Linked DNA regions of Oryzias latipes. The protein of the gene in region 1 interacts with the protein of each later gene in a pairwise test. Links are inferred from orthologs where the notes say so. Each region holds a gene or a part of one and is shown in the gene's direction. Other genes may lie near its edges. The genes, in order: zc2hc1a and cytosolic arginine sensor for mTORC1 subunit 1.

Region 1 (10,078 bases):
ATCTGACAGTGTGCCCCAAAAACCACTGAATGCGGTTGTGAAATCATTTGTACCAAAAGGTAAACTTTCTGAGCTAAATAACAGGATAAGTATGCAACTAAAATACTGAGAGACTGTGAATAGACAGTAAACGTACGAAAATAAAAACACTCAAATGCTTTTCTTCATTTTTAGAATCTCTGCCAGTAATGCCTGGTTCTGCTTGTTAGAGTCAATTATGAAAGATGGTAAGAAAATTGAAGGAAACAGCAGCGTAGTTGCCATAGTTATGGTTTTGGTGCATAGAGGACTGAAATCACACTATACTGCTAAAAGATACACAGGATCGCTGCAGGTTAGCTGCCTTCAGCTTGAGCCTCCTCTTCCTTAGCTGAAGAGTCCTGGTTGCTCTCAGAGTCTCCCTGTTCTTCCCCTAACGAACAGAAAAGAGGGTCACGGAGGCCGAGTTACATTCACACAATCTGGCTCGTTGTTTTGACAACCTTTTCTTTCTGGATGCTCCTTGATAGTAATGGAATGGAATTAAATTAAGAAATTATTAAGTAAAATATTGTGAAAGAAAAAGTAAAGATGCAGCGTTGCAAATCAAATATTTGATTCCATGATTAACAGAACAGACTTTTCCCTTGACCCTTAGGTTAATTGTTATTTATTTCTATATTTTTTTTATGAGAAAATGTTTAATTAAAAAAAGTACTAAGAGTAGTTTAATGAGTTAATAACCTTTTTTGAAAACAGTACATTTAAAAATGTAAGTTTTCATTTTTCACAAGTATTAAATTTTCTAAATAAAAGCTTGCAAAATGTCACAATTCAATTCAAAGCTGTTAATGTAATCATGGCTCCACACATGCGTGAGAACTAACAAGTATGAATTAATGAGCCAGAAGAGTTTTGTTTATCTATCATTTTTATTGACTCTTAGTAAACGTTTGTGTAATGAATTATAAATACACAAATTAATAATGAAAAAAAATAGTTTTAGTTTCAATAATTGATTTAAATATTGAAAAAAGGATGCAATGATTTAGTCTTGGTAAGGTGTTTGGCACATGGTAGATGAAAAAAGCAAATAACCATTTTTTTGCTTTTCAATCATCCAAAAATGTGTAAAACTAAAAGCTATTTTTGAGGAAAGCCATGTTGTTGTGTAACATGATGCAGTGCCTTCTGTCATGCATGCTGAGGAAATCATTTACATACATCTTCACCAGTTTTAGGAACAAAAATCTTTACAGGCAACAGACAAGCAGCTGTTTATGTAAAATGTCTCACCGCTCTTGCTGATGGTGAGCTGTGCCAGTCTCTGTGACAGGTCCATGGATCCTTGCAGCTTCTCTGTGGGGATTTCATGGATGGCATTTCTGCGGCCAGACCGCCGGGAAGCGATGAAGTCCTCAAAGCTCACTTCGACATCCGTCATCGCTGACACGCCTCAGCATAGCCCTGCCTTTCAAAGACGCTTACTACAAGCTAAAGAGAACATTAACACACAGAAACAAATTGTAAAAAGTAGCTACTCTGAAGCATGCGAGCAACACAACCTGAACATTAGCGGCTACAGGAGGAAAGTGGGCTCCCCATGCTATTGTCCAATGCACCTCCACATCCTCTTATTTTACAACCTAATCCCTCATTAATCTATATTAATCTTATCCAGTGTTGGAATGACTTCAGAGGCACAGAGAGAGAGAGAGGAATTCTCCCAGCAAGTAATTGGGGAGGAAACATTTCGGAGAACCAAAGGGGAAAGAATAACAACAAAAAAAGTTAAAGGGATAATTGTGACACAAAGAGGAAGAGAGCTGCTGTCTTGCGCGGCATGAGTATGGCCATGATCAGCAGTGCAGCTCTGAGATTTAGGTTAAACCCTTCTGTTGACATTTTAGTGCTCCACATCAATCTGCCTGGATGAGGCTGCCCTTCAGCACTGGGCAAGTGCAGACTGGGTTGCCCCATTTACACTAATTAAAATACGTCAATCTGTTTTTTTTCCCACACACTTAAAACTGAAGGTTACGAAACCAAAAATACCTGTAAACAAGATTTTGTTTAATTTATGGAAACGATGAATTCCGGCAGGGAAAAACTTAAAAATGGCTTCAGCTTCCATCATTTTTAATTAGGGCCATGAAATCCATTATTGAGCATGTCTAATTTTGAATGCCTCATTTCTGTCATCTTCAGCACACGCTCCCACTCTGATGCCATTCGTACAAGTGTTTTTTTTTTTAAGATGGACACAAACTATATCATCCCTATTCTACTGACAGACTAAAAGCTGAGATGGATCATTAAAATCTGTTAACCAATGATGATAAATGTCTACAAAAAACTGCATCAATAGCCTGACCTTACCGAAACTCATTTGACAGATAAATTACTGCATGCCTAAATATACATTGTTACATATTGTTTTTTTACTTGTTTTAGTTTAATAAAATATCTACCCAAATTGTAATAAATAAATAAATACAAGAGTACAGCTCTCTGTAAAAAAAACAAAAACTATTACTGTTTTAATAACATTCTATATGCAAGATATCTGTGCACATTTCTAGGCATAAACCCCTTAAATGGAACACATTTTCATTTGAAATCCCACATATTACATGTTTTTTCCCCCCTTATATATTCAGTTTCATATAGACATAAAACCATGCATGTAGCTAACCCTGACTTCAGATAATCTTGTAAATGTGTGATGAGCTCACTATATAGCTGTTCTGAGTTGCTATTTCATTAGTTGTGCAACCAAATTGGAATTATTGATGAGAGTAGCAGATGACCAAAGACTGGATATATTCTAGAGCACCCAAAACTATTGTAGTCCAACTATTTTATGTTTATATTTTATTTTATATGTTTATGCTATGAAAAGAAAAATGCATCATGATTACGTTATGATTTGTTTATTCATGTTAATAGTAATTCAGTTTCTAATTCAATTTGGTTATGTCTAATTTTTTTCCGTTTGGTTTATTTTTTATTTTATTGTCTTTTTTCTTTTTTTCATCACATTTATTTTTGTCTGATTAAAAGAAAAAGCAAAGCAAATTTAAAATTGACATCGGTCTTTGTTCAGCTTACTAACCTTCACCTCAAGAGAAATTATTGCTTTATGAAGAAAAAACGTTAAATAAAATTAATAAAAAAATAATGAATAAAAAAAGGGGGGGGGGGTTATCATAAACATGTTCATTTTACAAACTGTTTGAATAACTGGCTCCTCGAGGCTGAGCTCACATAAATTAACAGCCATTTGTTTCTCTGATGACAAAGACCCCCACAGTGGTAGGTCAGTGCCTGTGAGCACCATCTGCACGATATTATTGTTTAAGTTACACAGATAAATATGTAAATTCTGCATTTTTTTTGTACATCATAACGTTGATCAGGAAAAGTACCTGTTTGGGCGAAATAATCTCCCTATGCTCGCACTGGTCAGTCAGTCCCATCAGATGGAATTCTGCCACTCTGGTATCCCCGTCTGGTTTAGTGGGATCGCCGTTAAGCGAGAGTTGGAAAATTCCACTTCCGGGTATCGTTTTCAAAATAAAACGCTTTTTTCTTTTCAAGTATGATTTATTTTGTTTTTATTTTTTTACTTAGAGACCCCCACAAAACACAAGTAAGGACTATTATTTTATACTATTAGCGTTGTGCTTGTGCAGAAGAGGGATCACAGAGAGGGCAGTCAGCGAGAGAATAGAACGCCTGTCATGAAACCAGCTGCGGGCTTTTAGGACCGGCCTGTCACAAAGCAGATGTCTGTGGATTCATGTGACACATGCTGTCCTTGTGGCAAACATATCTGTGGAGTGTTTGCACTTTATTTTAAGTGTCTCGACAAAAAAGGCTCTTTGTTTAAATGTGGTTGGTCACACGTTTGAAATGTTACCCCCATATGTTTTGTAAACAATGCTATGGAGTCATTTTGACTAATAGATCGCTTAATGTTTAGTTAAACAATGAATGACTTTTGGGATATAATGATGTTACTTAGGTTTTTCTACTTTTTAGCCTAAAAGGAAGACACATTTTGCGTCTCCTTACACACACAAAACGTCAATATTCCCTTAAAAAATGTGCATGTTGTGCTCCACCTGCTGTTCGCATTAGGATACATTCTGCAATAAAACAAAAAAAGATGCGGAAGTTAAAATATTTGAGAGTTGCCATTGGTTGCCAAAGATAAATCGACTCAAGACAGTTCAATACCGAACTCTGCAAACAAATTAGGTTATCGCCTGGGAGTGGAGGTACCATCAACATGACACAAACAGAGGCCTAAACAAATGTCTAAACAAAAACTTCTATTGTAGTAGTTTTTACTGCTGTATAAATTTTAACATTTCTGGAATGTATATTTATCTATCACATTTGTGTGTCTACAAACTAAATCAAACACAATTTATGGACGACTTTCTTTGTTCCGGCGAAACCGGAAGTAATTTGGAGCGATTCCTCTTGTTCCTCCCGGCTACAATTTGCTCGTGGAAATAACAGTAGCATCAAACAAGGGATAACCTAAGGATGGAAGAATTTGAAGGTAATCTCAGTCCAGTGCTTTATTTTAAATGGATTTTTTGGTGCATTCAAACTTGAATCGTCGCAGTTTTAAACCTCGAAGAGGTTGTGTTTTAATGCAAAGCCGTTTCCCATAGGGAGCTCTTTTTTGTTTGGGATTTAGCCAAAGTAATGCTAGGTAACGTTGGAGCTAAAGATGAGGCTAGCTGTCTGGCTGCATGGGTGTGATTCCTTGAGGGAGCGGCTGTCTAATGTTAGCATAAAAAGACATTAACTGGGTGTTAACTGACGAACCTGGTAGGGAAATAAGCTAAATTAAATGTTGTAGATACTCGCAGGGGTGCAATTATGTACTTGTATACGTTTAGAGACATTTTTATGCCAGTTATTTATATTTACATTATTATTATAGCATTATTTTATTTTTGTGATTTTCTGACATATTGTTGTTAGTCTAATATTGCGAAAATTGATCTTAACAACGCACCCCATGCACAGAAATGTATAGAAAATGTAGCCTTAGAAACTTATTTAACACATCATTTACTATTAGTCAGTCAAAATAAGGATTTGATCTATTTCTATCCACATTTGACTGTTTTCCTAAATAATCTTTATTTTTTTCTGCAGATGCTGAAGCTCCTCCTGTGGGTGAACTGGTCCAATGTAATACTTGCAAAAGATGCTTCTTCCCGAAAGTTCTGGTAAAGAAAAACTAATATCATGTCATCTGTGTTGTGCAGTGTACTATCTTTTGCTGTAATGCATCACATATCACTTGTTATTGTTCAAAAGTATCCCCTTGTAATCGCATTGTTTAAATTCATTCCAATACCTGCTGAAATCAAAACAATATGAGGAAGTAGAAATTATTTTTTTAACAAGTATATTGTTTTTGGTGAAAGCCCAGAAAGCTCAATTGGATTATGCTCAGTTTTTATGAGTTTATCGGATAAAATGCAAATACAGCAGCACAATGAGAAACAGACCAATTAGAGAAGTAGAGGCTTGTTTGACTTAAAAAAAAGAACACACACAAAAAAAGAGAGATAAAACCTTCAAAATAAAATCATTTTGATTTGATCTCACTTTTTTTTTTTTACAAGAACAGGACAAAGTGATACTGGCTCTTTAAAAAAAAAAACAGTACAAGAACATAAAAATGAATAGACTTTGTTTTATTTTGACCAAAACTACTGGACAAGTAAAAAGTAAAATATTACATAAAAAGATAAGTAATTACTTAAACTACTGCATTAGCACACACATCAACATTTTATTGTAATAAAAACTCCCAACACTACATCTCAAACACTCCTAAGACTTGTAGAAGTGAGAAAAATACTCATTTGGATATTAGCGAAGGTAAACCCCGTTATTCTACTTGGGGTAATTAAACACATTTAAAATATTTGTTTCTTCTTTTTATTGCAGTATCACTTAAAATTTATTATTTATGGGCATTATAACTGTTTACGGAAGTTCAGTATTGATCTTAGATCCCAAGCATGTTTGTAAGAACATAGCGCTAATATCTAGTCAACTAAAGATTAATATGCAAAAACTTATAAAAGGGGCTTCAGAGCACTTTTCACATTAATTTCAATTATTAATTTTGAGTTTTACAATTCAATTTACAGTAATAATTTGAATGAATACACATTACCGATGCTATAACAAAAATATGGTTTTATGTAAAAGAAAAGCCACAAAAAAATCCTGAGACTTTGATTGGTTGAACTGTTTTTTATGATAAAAGTCAGTCAAATATATAATGATGGTTGACATATGTTGTTGTTTTTGGACCTGCTTTTCCTTTCCAACAGGAAAAACATGCAAAAATCTGCCAAAAGACAGCAACTAAAAGGAGGAAGGTTTTTGATTCCAGTAGACAGAGGGCAGAGGGTACAGACATCCCCGTACTCAAGCCTATCAAACCAAAGGTAAGCGGTCAGCCCGATCAAGTTACGGAAATCCTACCAATGACAGGATTTAGCTTGAAATATCCAGAATTTGATCCCCTTAAATAAAACTGTATCATGTTTTTTCTTTTGCTTAAAAATATCAACTTCCGCAGTGATTTCTATAATTGTGGATGCAACTTTTGGGAGGCCGGTGACCTTCTTTCCATTTCACATCTTTTAAGGTTGATCCTCTTATTTTATTTTTTTAAATTAATTTCAAAGACTTTTTCCTAGTAGAAAATTTCACTAAATAAATGTTTTTTTTTTAAAATAAATATATATATATGTTCTTTTAAGCAGACATTTCTTTTTATTTTTCACACTTTTGACACATTGCTTCTATAAACTTCAAATAGAGCTTCTTTTTATGTTACAAAAATGTATAAAATGTCCAATTAAGACATCTGCTAATCATAATCATATTTTAATATTCTATGTCTTTTAGACAGCATTAAAACATTTTTTCTATAAAGTATTTTTTCAGATTTTTGCCTTTTATCTTTAACAAAAAAACCCAAAAAAAACTCAATGTTTGTTTTTCCAGCCAGAAGCTACAAGAAAATAAAAGTTTTAGCAAACTTGACTGAACAACAGCAATAAATCATCTGTTGGAAGATTCCGAGTAATGATCCTCCTTTTTGTCATCACCTCCTATATGAATATTTGCTGTTCCTGAGTAGCCATACAGTGTTTTATGGTAACAGCACCTTTTTGTAAAATGTACATTATTTCAATTGTATTTCAGTCACAAAGCTCAGCTGGCTGTCAGAAAGTAAGTAGATTTAGTCTATTTTTTTTTCTTCTGCCTGTCATCCACACACTGTACTTTTTTCTTTTTGCCAATATAACAGCTTTCTACTTTCTTTTCTGAAAAACCCGATTCCTCCTTTCAGTTATTATGACACCGCTGTTTGTGACTTTGACAGCTATAAGAAATAAAATCTGAAAAGCAGTATTTTTAAAGACTTCAACTGTGAAGAAGGGATTTGAAAGTCAGCTAAGCTGACCGCTAAGACGGAATATTATAATATAATATATAGGCCTGCACAATATACCGCAAATTTATCGTTATCGCAATATCCAGCTCTGCAATATGCATATCGCAAAAGACGGCGAATATCGCAATAAATCGCAAACCCAAAATGTGTTAAAACAATCTTCTAGCAGCTTGAAGCATTTAACGAATCAAATAAATCCCTTTATGCTTTGACCAATCAGATGGACGCCTTGCCATTGTTGACCAATCAGATGGAGGCCTATTATGTTAACCCTGGTCCTGAAGAGTCTCAACCCTGCCTGTTTTCCAGCTCTCCTTAACCAGCTTGCTGTTGATTGGCTGACTCAATTGATTTCACATCCTGATTGACTGAACACACCTGATTTTGGTTATCATTATCGAGCAGTCTAGGGAGAATTGGAAAACAGACAGGGTTGAGGCTCTTGAGGACCAGGGTTAGCCACCCTGACGTTTGTCCCCCATGTCGATGAGGGTCATTTGGAGTATAATTTTTAAACTGTTGCAATGAAATGGGAATGATGTTTTTGTTTATTTTTCTATTTGTTTATTTACCGAAAATTTATCGTTATCGCAATATTGATCACTAATATCGCATATCGCAAGTTTTCCTCATATCGTGCAGCCCTAATAATATAATATATCTGCTTTATGTAAAACTCAGCTGTCCCCACTGATGGTGGGAGAGTTTAGATCTGTTATAGCTTTCGCTTGGAGGCAAAACCACCTCATTAAGTGCAACAAGCGTCCCGTTTATGGAAATTCCCTCGCGGATATATGAGAGTCTAGTCTTTAGCTTGAAATGTTAGCATTCAATCTGGCACTGGGCCACTCGGGTTGTGTTTAGTCACTGTCAGGGTCGTTGGAGTTGCCGACTGTATGAAAACAGACTTTGTCAGCAGAATCTGCTGTGGCATGTTGTCCTACCAGGCAGAGCCACCGAAGAAGCCGTCCAACTGGCGCAAGAAGCACGAGGACTTCATCGCCACCATTCGGGCTGCCAAGTCACTCACTCAAGTCATGAAAGAGGGGGGGCCCTTACCCCCACCTCCCCCCCCTTCGTATGACCCAGGTAGGAGATGCTTTTGGGGATAGTTTCTAACAATTTTCAATTTCACTTCTCCATTAGAATTAGATATTTTTTCTGCTTGTGCTGCAAACCTTTTAAATGAAATATTTCTTCCTCTCTAGATTACATCCAGTGCCCATACTGTCAGCGGAGGTTCAATGAGAGTGCTGCCGACAGACACATTAAATTCTGTCAGGAACAAGCTGCCCGGATACCCACCAAAGGCAAGTTAGGCGATCCCAAGAAGACGCCGGGTCGCACACAGGTAAAGAATGTGACTGTCTGCAGAAAAACATTGACTTTGGGCTTTTAAAAAAAAAAAAAAAAAGTCTGCACCTGTACTTTACTGAGATCCATCCATTCATCCATCCATCCATCTATCCAATCCCCAATCCAGCTACGGTTGGATGAAGGTCGCCAGTCTGCTTAAGGGCCACACACTAGCCCTGCACAATAAATCGGAAATGTATCGTCGCGATATCAAGCTGTGCAATACGAATATCGGAAAAGACGGCGAAAACAATAAAATAAATACAATTTACGACAATTAATGGTAAATGTGCTAAAACAATCTTATGGCAGGTTGAAGTCTTTCACGAATCAAATATATCAGTTTATGCATTTGACCATTCGGATAGAGCTCTTTTATGTTAGATCTTCATCTCCTATGTAGACGAAGGTCATTAAGAGTATACTTTTTTAAACTCCATCCATCCATCCATCTTCCTCCGCTTATCCGGGACCGGGTCGCGGGGGCAGCAGACTGAGCAGAGATGCCCAGACTTCCCTCACCCCAGCCACTTCCTCCAGCTCCTCTGGGGGGACCCCGAGACGTTCCCAGGCCAGCCGAGAGACGTAGTCTCTCCAGCGTGTCCTGGGTCTTCCCCGGGGCCTCCGCCCAGTGGGACATGCCCGGAACACCTCTCCAGGGAGGCGTCCAGGAGGCATCCGAACTAGATGCCCGAGCCACCTCAACTGGCTCCTTTCGATGTGGAGGAGAAGCGGTTCTACTCCGAGCTCTCCGCGGGTGACCGAGCTTCTCACCCTATGTCTAAGGGAGCGCCCAGCCACCCTGCGGAGGAAGCTCATTTCAGCCGCTTGTATTCGGGACCTCGTTCTTTCGGTCATGACCCATAGCTCATGACCATAGGTGAGTACTGGAACGTAGATCGACCGGTAAATTGAGAGCTTTGCTTTTCGGCTCAGCTCTCTCTTCACCACGACGGACCGATAGAGCGACCGCATAACTACGGACGCTGCTCCGATCCGCCTGTCAATCTCACGCTCCGATCTTCCCTCACTCGTGAACAAGACCCCAAGGTATTTAAACTCCTCCACCTGGGGCAAGGACACCCCACCGACCGAGAGATGGCAAACTACCTTTCTCCGGTCAAGGACCATGGCCTCAGATTTAGCGGTGCTGACCCTCATCCCAGCCGCTTCACACTCGGCCGCAAACCGCCCCAATGCACGCTGGAGGTCCCGGTTCGATGAAGCCAA
Region 2 (4,068 bases), on another chromosome or scaffold:
GCATAACTTTGTTACAGACGATCGCATTTCCTCTCACGGATGCTTTTCAAAGGAATTTAGAAAGATGAAAAATAATCAGTTTCTCTGTAAAACGTTTAAAAATTTTAACAGTTCTGGTTCGTCGCCTGTCCATCCCGGGAGAGGATCCCTCCATGTGGAAATCTCTGAGGTTTCCTCTTTCTTTTTTTTCCCCAGGAATCAGTTTTTCATTACCAAGAAGGAGGGTCTTAGTGCAGGGATGCTCAGTGTAGCGTAGTATATTTATTTTAGTTTAGTCATTGCATATTACATTTCATGACTGATTTCATGTTCTTATAAAGTTACCGGTATAAAGTCTGTTGAGCGACTGTGTTGTGATATTGAGCTATATAAATAAAATTGAATTGAAATCAATTCCATTCTGACCTTTTTAACATAAGAAATAGAAAATTGTGCCAATTTGAAACCATCCTCTTGTGGTCATTTGTGGAACTGCAACCTCTGGATTGTTGCGATATCAAACCCAAAGAATGCAGGCTTAGTTCCGCCTAGGTGACCATTTTCTGACATTTATTGTGGTTAACAAAGTTGGGCTCTAAAGTTGTGTCTGAATTTCCTCACCACCCCCAGTTGGTTCACTATTCTCCGTTTTGTCGGGGTGTCTGACACTATGTCCAAAATCTCACCCTAACCCTTAACTACTAAAAAACTATACAGTGTGGCACTACGTGGTGCCCTGAATTTTAAAAGCAATTCAGACACCATGTCCACTACTTTTTTTTTTTTAAAAAGCGGATATTTCTAGGGCACTCCATTTTAGAATTGTACATTCGGACAGCACTACAAAAAGGCGAACGCACTATATAGTGCACTATATAGGAGTTAGGGTGGGAATTCGGACACAGCCTGAATCTACAATTCCAAAATCCAGTTTTCGGGAACTTTCCCAGAAGTCTCTCGGTGTGTGTCAAACCTCACTAGATTGGCGAATACAGGGCATTGAGTATTAACAAATTTTGGTTTAAAACATCAGATCACATTGGATTCATGAATGATTTTCCTAAAAATGTCATATTTGCCTTTCAAAAAATTGCTTTTAAATGGCTTTTAAAATCCAGGACACTAGATAGTCCCACGCCATGCAGATTTTTAGTTTTTAGGGGGTAGTGATGGAATTCGGTCATAGTCAACTTTGGGCTTTTATTGTGGAAAATTTACCACAGTGACGCTGCAGCTTTAAGACAAGGGGGCGTGTCCCCGTGGCTCCGCCCCCTGGTATTAAACAGACAGTAGTTGAGCGGCGCGTCGGATGTTTGTCGTCTTGTCAAACGGGCGCAGCGGGGCGACGTGTTTACGGTGGTCGGTAATGTTCTTCACCGAGGCCCGCCTCTAACCTGCCGGCCCAGAAGACGTTCCCGCTGCCGGCGCCGCGTGCAGGAACTAAGAGCCGCGCGGACACACACACACACAGAGCCAGCAGCCAGCTGAGCAGGCAGCCCGTCCCCGGGAACATGATGGACCTGCACATTTTAGACCACCGGCTGCGGGTCACCAGCATATCCAAGAGCGGACTGGAGCATTTCACACACCCCCTCATCAAGCTGATATTTCTGCGGAACCGAACACGGTAAGGAGGCTCCGTGTCTGCCGGGGTAATCTGGTGCAGATGTGCGAGCTCCAGAGGCATTTAGGCGGGTTGTTTTGTCAGAGCATGTCCTGCTCCACCTCAGTGAATAATCGAGTGCAGTGAATGAGGGAAGCAACCAAAGAAATGTAACTCCTGCTTTTGACAGTAACATTAAAACAATATGTCTTCCTGCTTTTTTCTTTTTTTTAATTGGATGGGTCTTAGCTCTGTTTTAATGCCCCATCATCTCTCCAGTGCCCTTTGACCTCTTCACTCCAAGCTTGCATGGACTTGATTGGTTCTCCACATCTCATATTAGCATTAGGATCCGGCGTTTCCAATCAGTCCCTGAACATCCCACTACTGTCCTGCAGTTTCCTGCAGCTCAACATCTGTCCTCAGACCAGCTTTCTGCAGCCAAACAAAGCGAGTCCAGCATCTGTCTACCTGCAAGCAGTGGCCTTTGTCACCTGGCATTGAAAAACGAGCAAACATCTGTACTCACTTGTCTCTTGACTGTTGAGAAATGTCCTGCAACAGGTACGCTGTGCCAAGGTGGCGTGCACCACCCTTTACTTTTATTTCTGATCCATCAGTGGAGCTGCAGGGCAGTTGAATCTTCATGAACTCCACTTGTTCATCTGTCGTTTGTCCCGATGGTGTTTTTTTGTCTCTGTTTATAGACTTTAAAACTATTTTCATGTTTTGATCTGTTCTCACTTTGGAGTTTCCTCAACATTTTGCATTTTGCTTTTCAGCGTCTTTTGACGGTTATTTTCTGGTCTCTTTTTTTTTTTTTTAAATCAAAAGTTAAAAAAAAAAAAACAAGTTGCCTGCATTCTAAAGCGTTCATGGAGGAAAACCGAGTTTTTTACTGCCTGGGATGGTTAACGCGTTTGTTATTCTACGAAAAACGCTTCAGTGATGGATGAGGCTTCATCAGCATCCATCACTGAGCTGGAGGTTTAAAGTAGTTCTACTCTACTAAGGCCAGCCAAAACCTTTTCCGTAATTGTTCCATCAGTGGAAGGATTGGAAATAAGGCCTTAGTCTCAAGCACCTGCATGCACAGGTGCTGCAGGTTTTTGAGCTGTCCGGGCCCCTTGGAGGGTCGTAGAAAGAAGGGTGTGTTTTGCAGTTCCCTTTAGGCTCGTTGTGGCCACTTCAAGAGACCTCATGGCAATCGATTGTTCCATTGTCATGAGTGTGGTAATTGTATCATGAAGTTTTCGGCACAATACAAAGTCTTTCCCTGGCCTCAAGGCTTCTTCCAATCCCTACATTTAGCCCTCCAAGCGGAGAGTTCCCACGTGAAGCTGATCACCCTCCCGGCGGAGGGATTCTCAGTCCTAAGTCACTTTAGCTACCCCTTTACAAAAAAAACAAGTTCAGACACCTCTACAGCTCCACATACCCCTACAGATGGAGAGGAATCATTTGGATTTGGCCTTAAGGCTCATGGAAGATGCTGATGACGTACGGTGATGCTGTCGTACGGCGCCCTAACACTAGTTGTTGGTACGGTGCGAGTGCTGGCTCTTTACTGGCCGTGTGCAAATGTGATGCGCGTGGGGTTTTCATGTGGTACATAAGTCCCCATAGGACTCTTTTAGCATGTCCACACAAACAACACTGTCTGATTTCCTGAATCCTAGGAGGCGGGCTGCACAACAGGACCGCACACTTGTCAGAAGGAACAGCACTAGCGGACTCGTTGGGCAGTCTGCAGGATTCGATGCGGGTTGAAAAAAGAAAAATTTGCACGACACGTCTATGTCTCTCCTACTTTACCCTTACTGACCTTCACGCGATGAGTAAGTGTTCACTACAACCTGTCAATCACCGTACAGGTTTGCCCATTTGTCCGCTGCAGATGGCCCGTATCCACCTGTAAGGCCAGTTGTGACTAACTGTTGAGATTTCTTTCATTGTTTGTAGTTTTTTTTTCATTTGAAGCCTTGCATCTTCTCAGCATTTTTGATCCCCCATAATGTCAATGTTTCCTCTTTAGGCCCCTCATGTTCTGAACAAAGCAGAGCTGAGTCAGGAGCTCAGTTGGGAGTTTTCCACTTGTCTGCTTCCATGGCCCTCCGACGTTGGGGAGCTCTCTCCACTTGCATCAGGCAGCTGGAGCCTCATTCTTCATCATCAGCTTTCCCAGCTCTTATCGTGTTTCTTCAGCTGGAACATCAGTTACCCCCCCCCCCCCTGACTGACACCACCTTCAGGAACAGTCCTTCGCCCTCCTGTTGTTTCGTGTAGCTGGATCAAAGTCCAGAGCATTGTGTGTTCAGTTCTCGCTTGGCCTGCCGCTCAATACCTGTTGCTTCCACATCTCTGGTGGTTCCTGCTTCAAGGAAAGAGTTTGTTTTTTTCCCCGTCCCATTACACAACATTTGATCCCGCTGAGGACGGGTTTCTGCAAGCACAACAACAAGAAAAGACAAAGTCTAAAATTAAAA

The links.
Region 2: the proteins of zc2hc1a (region 1) and cytosolic arginine sensor for mTORC1 subunit 1 interact in binary tests that used the Homo sapiens proteins (3 or more experiments, as listed by UniProt). The two-hybrid records come from large-scale screens. The link is inferred for Oryzias latipes from reciprocal best matches to the Homo sapiens genes ZC2HC1A and CASTOR1.

What each region holds. Positions count from the first base shown.
Region 1 is NC_019878.2:13,234,224-13,244,301, forward strand, and holds the start of zc2hc1a (zinc finger C2HC domain-containing protein 1A), read left to right. Parts: upstream 1-4,438; 5' UTR 4,439-4,536; coding exon 4,537-4,552; intron 4,553-5,160; coding exon 5,161-5,234; intron 5,235-6,356; coding exon 6,357-6,473; intron 6,474-7,239; coding exon 7,240-7,266; intron 7,267-8,439; coding exon 8,440-8,581; intron 8,582-8,700; coding exon 8,701-8,843; intron 8,844-10,078.
Region 2 is NC_019867.2:3,181,877-3,185,944, reverse strand, and holds the start of cytosolic arginine sensor for mTORC1 subunit 1, read left to right. Parts: upstream 1-1,268; 5' UTR 1,269-1,490; coding exon 1,491-1,606; intron 1,607-4,068. UniProt on the Homo sapiens protein: Functions as an intracellular arginine sensor within the amino acid-sensing branch of the TORC1 signaling pathway. As a homodimer or a heterodimer with CASTOR2, binds and inhibits the GATOR subcomplex GATOR2 and thereby mTORC1.